Daphnia pulex: one gene and its partner. The protein of the gene in region 1 interacts with the protein of each later gene in a pairwise test. Links are inferred from orthologs where the notes say so. Each region holds a gene or a part of one and is shown on either strand. Other genes may lie near its edges. The genes, in order: Golgi phosphoprotein 3 homolog sauron-like and 14-3-3 protein zeta.

What was found.
Region 2: the proteins of Golgi phosphoprotein 3 homolog sauron-like (region 1) and 14-3-3 protein zeta interact in binary tests that used the Drosophila melanogaster proteins (3 or more experiments, as listed by UniProt). The link is inferred for Daphnia pulex from reciprocal best matches to the Drosophila melanogaster genes sau and 14-3-3zeta.

Annotation. Positions count from the first base shown.
Region 1 is NC_060019.1:8,788,513-8,793,153, reverse strand, and holds Golgi phosphoprotein 3 homolog sauron-like, read left to right. Parts: upstream 1-1,580; 5' UTR 1,581-2,253; intron 2,254-2,478; 5' UTR 2,479-2,492; coding exon 2,493-2,696; intron 2,697-2,766; coding exon 2,767-3,013; intron 3,014-3,078; coding exon 3,079-3,254; intron 3,255-3,327; coding exon 3,328-3,576; 3' UTR 3,577-4,457; downstream 4,458-4,641. UniProt on the Drosophila melanogaster protein: Phosphatidylinositol-4-phosphate-binding protein that links Golgi membranes to the cytoskeleton and may participate in the tensile force required for vesicle budding from the Golgi.
Region 2 is NC_060019.1:12,249,464-12,253,668, forward strand, and holds the start of 14-3-3 protein zeta, read left to right. Parts: upstream 1-1,405; 5' UTR 1,406-1,660; intron 1,661-1,843; exon of another isoform or gene 1,844-2,058; intron 2,059-2,419; 5' UTR 2,420-2,436; coding exon 2,437-2,736; intron 2,737-3,303; coding exon 3,304-3,427; intron 3,428-4,014; coding exon 4,015-4,178; intron 4,179-4,205. Other genes in the region: mRNA turnover protein 4 homolog, read right to left, coding at 1-131, 193-355, 416-443. UniProt on the Drosophila melanogaster protein: Required in Raf-dependent cell proliferation and photoreceptor differentiation during eye development. Acts upstream of Raf and downstream of Ras, and is essential for viability.

The DNA of each region.
Region 1 (4,641 bases):
GAAATGCGCACAAGTGCGTAGACGTAATAGACTGCAGGAGACACACATCGGCTTGAAAGTTGGCGCAATTGTTCATTCGCAAGAGTCTCACTAGTTTCTTTTCTTAAATCGAATGTTCAATAGCGGCTGCTGCTCCTGTCGTCGTCGTCGTCGTCGGCCGAGCTACATATACAAACAAAAAGGAAAAGGAAAAAAAAACTCTCCAGTCCATATGCTCTTGAGCTAATGAGGTTGTGATGTGGCAATAAAGCGGCCAGACGTCCCTATCCGCCCGTTTTCTTCGTTCCCTCGTTTTCTTTTCAAAAAGACTACTCCGCAGGCAACAATTGCGCCGGAGAGGACTTCATCTTCTTCTTTTACATGTATAGCTAGCTAGCTAGCTCTTTTTTTCTCTTTTTTAGCGAAAAATGTTTCCAACATAAAAGAGATGTGTGTTGGCCGGCGAATATTACATTTTCAATGTCTTTTTCACGTGTTTACTAACATCAGACGAGTCGGATCAATATTCTCATCAACTGTTCTATGCTGAGCTATTTCCGCTCTTTGCAGTTTTTGGATAACGTTGGTTTTCTAATTAAGGTCAGATGAATTATTTGATTCGCCCCGTAGCATACAAATGCCGGGATTCTCTCGGTCGGCATTCATCCCCCCGACACACGAGCCGCGGTTTCATCATTTCGGTCGGAATCTTGTTTTTTGGATTTTGAGCCGGCACGGAGAACACCAGCTGCCATCTTTCGGCTGCCAACGCCGTTGCTGCTGAGAAGATCGTGACGAAATCCGGATGCGTTTTCACACAAACTCCTCGGCAGTAATTATTATCGGATTAGCTGCCTGCAAGTTGGCTGGCTAGTTAGGTGCCCACGAAAAGTGACCCATTATCGCTCTTACTACTGCAGAGATATGACCAATTTAGTTGCTGGTTTCACCGTTGCTTGAGCCAAATTGTGTTACACAACTTGTAACAAGATAAGCAAAATATTTGCTGACTTTCTACGGATTTTTTAAAAGGATCAGAAAATGGCCAAATATTTACACACATCTTTCGGTTGATATTAGTAGACTAGGCAACGGGGCTACCAGATGTAGAACGTGACTGATTTTTCCGCTTCAACATGTTTACATGTATAGAGTGAATTATTAAGCGCAGGTAAAAATAGGTGCTGATGTAATGCGTCAAACGATCCTGTCATACTGATATACTATTGCGATGTATGGAAATAAATGTTGATTCTTGGAAATCGAGTTTTCATTGCGGAATATAATTACAAATCAATTTTTCATTCGTCGGTAAAAAATTTCGATTTTCTTCCTACACGTCGGATGAAATGGACAAGCGTGTTGTCCATTACAGATTCATTTTTGATTCCCCAATTTAAACTTTGTTAGATTGAACCTGGTATAAGGTCCTGTTACATCCAAATAAGTTTTTTATCTGATTTATCTAGACTTATACCTTTATCTGAATCGAGTTCGAGGCGGATTTCCCCATCGGAATTTTTTAATTGGTAGGTATAAAGCTGCCACCTATCAATTGAAATTGAAACTAGCAAGGAAAACAACTATTTTTCCTTTGATAAAATAAAAATCGTCATTTATGTTTCATCGCAAATATCGGGTCAAATATTGCAACACATTTCTATCTACATTTTCCCATTGACACAAATTAATGTTGTCATAGTTACGATCCGGACGGGAAAGATAATTTTTTTTTAAGGGCTTATGTGTATGAATGTCCAGTGACGGACTGATTGACGAGGGTTATATTTACACAAGATAACAATTCTTTCGAAAGAAAATCGCCTAAACCTTTGCACTACCATAACTGTCATAATTTTCCCGTTTTTTTCTGTGCTTACGTTTACACAATTCACCAAATACGAATCGCGTACCGTGGGAAATACCTTCTGGTTTTTTTCATTTTTGAATTTTTTTACGCCACGTCGCAACTTGCAAGCAGCAGGCTTGTTGCCTTGACGACCAGGCAAAAATCGACGTTTTTACAGAGAGAACCCTACCTGCTTGCCAAAGATTATACGTGTACAAAAGTTCTTCTATACGTGTAAGAAGGCATAGACGAGCCTCCGAATGTCAACAAACTCATCAGCCAGAACGAAGTTACAACTGTAGTGCCCTTTTCATAGTTTAGTTTCCTTCTTCTTGAGTTCTTGAGTTTGTTTTTCGTTGTCTGCGACTGATGAGACGTCGAGCGTATTGCCACAAAGCCAGTATTATTCTTTCACAAGTGCACAGGTCAGATTACCTCCTCTACTTAACAAAGTAGCTCATTACTCTTCAAATAGATACAGTTCAGTTCTTTTGACTAGAATAATTTCCCCAAAAAAAGGATCAAGTCATTATTATTTCATTACATCCAAATGTCAAACTCAAAGTGTATTCATTTGGCATTTAATCATTCATAGTTTGGTGCTTTCTGGAGTGGTTGTTCTCACTTCTCACAGTTCTTTCTGGTTACAGGTTTTGATAGAAAAATGAATCGTGAAGGGGTTGTTCAAAGGAGGACTGCTCGTGTGGGGACTGGTGGCGGAGGACCTGTTGAGATATCGTCAGGTCCAGCTGATGTTGAAGACCGCCGTACAAGTAATGATACAGATGATATGGATGATTTGGATTCCAAAGAAACAAGACTCACCTTGATGGAAGAAGTGTTATTATTGGGCCTCAAAGATAAAGAGGTATACATAATATTTATTGTGTCATACTTGGTCCATTTCCCCCCTAAATTTAATTTTTTTAACTTTACAGGGCTATACTTCATTCTGGAATGATTGCATATCTAGTGGTCTTCGTGGATGCATATTGATTGAGTTAGGCCTACGTGGTAGAGTTGAACTAGAGAAAGGAGGAATGAGGAAACGATCCCTATTGGGGAGAAAAATTCTACTCAAGAATGACTCACCTACTGGAGATGTTCTCCTAGATGAGGCACTCAAGCATGTCAAGGAAACAGATCCCCCTGAGACGGTACAGAATTGGATAGAATACCTCAGTGGTGAGTGTCATTTGTTTAATCCTCCAACTTTAGAATTTTTCATTGATTTTCAAATATTTTTACAGGAGAAACATGGAATCCCTTGAAACTAAGATATCAACTGAAAAACGTCCGGGAACGCCTGGCCAAAAATTTGGTGGAGAAGGGAGTATTAACGACAGAGAAACAGAATTTTCTCTTGTTTGATATGACCACTCATCCTCTCACGGACAATATCATGAAAACTCGTCTTGTCAAAAAGGTGTGACGTCTTCACATTCTCAAAGCCAGCCATATCATTAAACCTTTTGTTCCTTTGACCAAACCATCTACAGGTACAAGAAGCAGTCTTATCCAAGTGGGTAAACGACGCTCATCGAATGGACAAACGCATGCTGTCACTCATCTTCCTGGCTCACGCCTCTGACGTGTTAGAGAATGCCTTTGCCCCATTAAACGACGACGACTACGAGCTGGCCATGAAACGGGTTCGTGAACTCCTCTACCTTGACTTGGACAACGAGAGTGCAAAACCTGGAACCAATGAGTTGATGTGGGCTGTTTTTGCTTCCTTTACCAAATGATAACGTTATTATTGTTACTAATATTGTATTGCTATCCCTTTCGTACACTCCTATCCCTTCCCATATCATTTATTTTTCTTATTTTCTTTGCCTATCCCCTTTCTTTTGATCCTTATTTAGTTTCTTTCTTTTTTTGTTCCGCGTCTCCATTATTTTTCCCGTTTTTTAAGCTACTGGCCATCGAAAAAAATAACCCTACCTTTGTATACCTACATAGCTGCAGCCAGGCTAGATTTTCCAATTCATTCCTTCTTTCAAACCATTTTTCAGTTATTACTAGCCCCTCCTTCTTTTTTTAACAATATTTAGAATATCCTACGAGTGTTATTAATTTTCTCCATTTTGAGTGTGCGTTGGGAAGCCTCGATTTATCTAAAAATCATTTCCAAAATTACCGATCACGCTCACAGTGCACTTGTTTCCTCTTTAATTCAAGTTTTCTTTAAATGGTGAAAGGGAAAATATTCATTTAACGAAACCACTATTATTATTATATAGCGAACTCTCATGATTTAACGTGGGTTGAAACGTGGAGGAAAGTGGGCAGAGGAGAGAGACGTTTTTGTTACAATTCTGGGGAAATCCCGTTGTGGTATGTATTGTAAATATACCTTCCATCGGGAGCGCAGCGCGCCATCTTTAAAAATACAACAATATAAATGAAATGAAAAATATGTAACCTGCAAACTGTGAAATGATTTGCGGATTGCGACCCTCAAAAATTCATTTGGATATGTGTGTTTAACAACTCCCTTTAATCGGCTAATGCTATATATTAGGTACTATATTATGTGGGAGAACGTGTATAACATGTTTTATTTCATTACTGCATGTACACACTATTGGTAGTTTGAATAAAAAAATCAGGAATTCGGATGCAACATGTGGTAGATTTTTATTGTCTTTTGTTCCTTCTTTACAGGTAAAATTCAGTGCTGCCATCTTTACGTACAGTGGTTAGCAACCGGAAGCTAGATCAAGGGAAGCGTGGTTGTTAGAAAATGTGAATTTGGGCTGCTTCCCATCTTATCACAATCTTTGGTGTGATTCCCAATGAATCAAGTA
Region 2 (4,205 bases), about 3.5 Mb from region 1:
GTTTATCTGTGAAGACAATTCCACACTGCCCTTTAAGTCTTTTAGAGACTTCATGAAGGTTCTCTCTGCTTTCAGACTCTTTAGTTCTACCTAATGCAATAGCAATCACTCTGTTTTTACCGAGGAAGAACCTGAATCCGACCAAGCAAATTATAATTGACATTTCATGATTCATCATAAAACCAAGTTTACCTGCTGTCTTTCCACTCATTACGAATAGATTTCAGTTTGTTACTCCTCATATTTTGAACTGAAAAGAGATACAAGTAAGAATATTTCTCAACACAAGATCTAATGTCCTCAACCAATTGCTGTTTTCCACCAAGACCCTTCTTCTTAGTTTGTGTCAATGAAACTGAAAAATAAAAACATTAAATTCAGTTTTTACAAAAGTTAAACAAACAGAGAAACTTACTTTTTTGGAATCGCTTAGTTTTAGGCATTTTAAATGTTGTTTAGGTTTAAATTAGCGGAAATAGCGTCTCGACTTCAAGTTTGGAAAAACCACGTGTTTCGTTTACTATCCTAAAGAAAGACTTTGAGACTGTGAGTCGTCTGCAAACAACTACAAAGTTGCCGATTATTTTTAAATGTATAAAAATTAACGATATTTTCTTATTTTCCCAGATTTTACATTATTCTGTAAATTGCATTTGAAACATTAAGTACGATAACAGTAGGATTATTTTAATATTATACATTCACATTCATGTCAACATTCAAATTACTCAAGTGACTCTCGCTCCAAGCATTTTACTTATCTGAAATCTATGATTCATTAATCATTATCTTTGCAGCTGTAGGCCTAAATTTATTGAATTTCAAAGAAACTGAGCTCGAAGCCCTATGTGTTTATTTCTTTTATTCAAAGGTAAAAGTAGTATTTGAGACCGGTATTCTTATGACTCGTTTGTTGTTCTTCAATGCGACGAGTGATGAGCGAGCAAGGACCTGGCAAAGACATAGCAACCAAAATAATTATCACTCAATCGCTGAGCGTTTGGGACTATTGGGTAGTTTTTCTAGATCTAAACTATAAAGTTTCATTGGAAACAAGTATCTTTCATCAATTGTCCATGTTTTTATTTCGAAAATGTTCATTTGGCCACAGGGACATACTGAAGCTCGAGAACATTCTATTTTTTTCCCTCCCATTTACTATTCTGGCACAGAGTAAGGTTCTTTTGGAGATAAAAAGACTGTTCAGAGACTCAACCGTCAGCGCCCCCTTTATTCCGATATTTAATCGAATAGAAAGTATAATTCGTATAAAGTGTACCGTACAAATATAAATATTTAAAAGTTATGAAACTTGTTTCACCGTAGCTGTGTGGTAAGATCTTGGGCAATTTGAGTCTAAAAATATCTTAAGAGAATTCTTTGCAAGTTTTCCTGTTGTCGCAGATGGCGCTAGCTCCGACAGCATTTCAGTGTCCAGTCTTTCATACTTGGCGACTTCATCCAAGAATTCGATCGTCGATTGTGTTGCCGACGCGCGTATATCGATTAATAAAGACTCGATTAACAAAGAATCGATTACATCGCATATCGATTTAAACTAGTGGGAAGGAAAGGACGACTTGCATTCGCCAAAGACAGTTCTCAGTTGGTAAAGCTCAGCCAGCGAGGCATTTTCCGCTACACTTCGGCACCCACTCACGTAAGTTTGAGAAACTTGAATATGGTAAATGTAAGCAAGGACGGCAAGGATTAAAGTGAGAAATCGTGAGATTGTTCTTTTTGCGAATAAATGTAATGGAAATTCGGTTGGGCAGCGTGAAGCTGTAGCCGGTGAGGAACAGGGCGTCTAGAGTAGAATGTTCTCTAGTGCAGCTAGTGAGAGGCGCCATCTTTGCTCCCTACGCGACAGCTCGCACCAACCCATCCCACATTCCTTTCCTTCAAAAGTCTGTACTGGTGTGTCTTTATGTGCAGCCATTTTCTCTTTTGTAAAGAAGTCGCGTGTGGCTAATTGTAAAGATTCCCATTGTTCGCCAATTCAACCGAGGTATTTTATTTCTAGTTTTTCAACATCTGTGTCCTGCCTGCTGACAGTAGGTAGGAAGTAAAAGTGTCGGTGTGGCTTCGTCTTTTCAAGGCCATAGTAAACTTGATTAATGCTAATATTTTAGCTTTTGGTGTGTGTGTGTCTCAGCACACGAGGCCTCTCTCAAACGGAGGGTGGGTTCTGACGCTCCCGCGTGATTCATGCTTAAGGTCAGGGAGGGTGTGGTGACTGGTCCAATGGTGGCCGCTGTTTTGCGTTTTTCAGTAGTTCCATCCGTCATTCATTTAGTTTTCAATTTAAATCGAAAGATTCGTACTACGTAGCAGTGGGTTCTGCACCTGCATATCTGGTGTCTGTAATTATATCTATGTGTATATTAATTTCATCTTTTTCTCTACGTGTTTCCAACAGATATATATTAACAGAAAATGAGCATGGACAAGGAAGAATTAGTACAGCGAGCCAAGTTGGCCGAACAGGCCGAGCGTTACGATGATATGGCGGCGGCCATGAAATCGGTAACAGAGACGGGCGTCGAGCTGTCCAACGAGGAACGGAACCTGTTGTCTGTGGCCTACAAGAATGTTGTGGGTGCCCGGCGGAGTTCTTGGCGTGTCATTTCGTCCATTGAACAAAAAACTGAGGGATCCGAGCGAAAGCAGCAAATGGCCAAAGAATACAGAGAAAAGGTCGAGAAGGAACTTCGCGAGATCTGCTACGATGTCTTGGTAAATAAAATTAATCCTTCAATCTCTTATTTGTATAACATGTTCAAATGGAACTTTGGTCTTCGTACATGATCAGTCGACTTTCGAAACTTTCCGATTACATGTATTCATCTTGGTCGCTGAAGGTTGCATAAGTCTAGACGGTTGGCATCATTGTCATAGCTTCAAGGTCTTGCTCAAAGATGGCCATGTGTTGATGTGTCTAGGGTTAAGCAAACCTGGTCGACGCATCATTTCCTATGTAGTCGTAATGGCAGAAACCTGCGCACATAGGAAGTAGTGCAGTCACCTCCCCCTTCTGTGTATGTATTGATCTTCCCAGTTTTGTACTTCTTGGGTCGATCTATCAACTCTCCCTTTTCCCACCATTTTCTTTTTTTCTCGGGCTTTATTTTTTGGCTCGACCTTATGCAGGGGTGTTACCTAGCAACCCATTTTCTTATTCCTAGTTGATGCTTTCTATTTTATTGTCCTTTAGCCCAGTACGTTTAATCAACTAGTCTTCGATCCAATTATCAACCGAGATATGACATAAGCTAATGAATTTTTTTTTTTACTCTTCTGTAGGGTCTGCTCGACAAATTCCTGATCCCTAAAGCCAGCAACCCTGAATCCAAAGTCTTCTATCTGAAGATGAAAGGAGATTATTACCGATATTTGGCCGAAGTCGCGACCGGAGATACCAGAAACGGTAAGGATTGTTGCGTGCCAATTTGGGATGGGCCATTCAGTGAGGACGCTGGCATACCGACGATTACCTAATGCGTGCATAGGCGATCGCAAATGAAATCGATACTTGGGTTAGCGTGGATGGTTTCACTTTTGTTTAATTATTTTCAATTGCAGTCGGAAATTGTGGTTACAACTCTGCCGTTCGGATTGCGCACACAGATTAGTTGAAACTTGCAACGTTGACTCATATTTGGAATAGTTCGATATCGGAAATACCGATTGGTTACTTGTCAATTAACAAATGTCAAGTTTGGCATTGGCTAGTTGCACGAACTTCCGTGATTGCTATACGCGGCTTGGCTTCTTGCCATCACGAATTGGGACGCCGGCTCCCGTAAGCGGTTTAAATTTGTCGTGCATCTTGGGAGATGTTAGCTAGCAAAGGCTTTATCGAACTGTGCAATCCGAACAGGCAGAGCCATCTGTGAAAGACGACGTGAAAGTTTGAAATGGGTGGAGGGGGACTACGCAGTGGGTTACGTTGATTCCTCGAGGGGTTGTAATCAAATTTTTTGAAAATTCAATTTGTTTATTGAATACTTGTAGCCGTTGTCGACGATTCTCAAAAGGCTTACCAAGATGCGTTCGAAATCAGCAAGGCCAAAATGCAGCCGACGCACCCAATCCGGCTGGGTTTGGCTCTCAACTTCTCGGTCTTCTATTATGAGATCCTGAATTCACCTGAGAAAGCCTGCCAACTCGCCAAACAGGTCCGTTTGTATAAGACTCGCTTACTA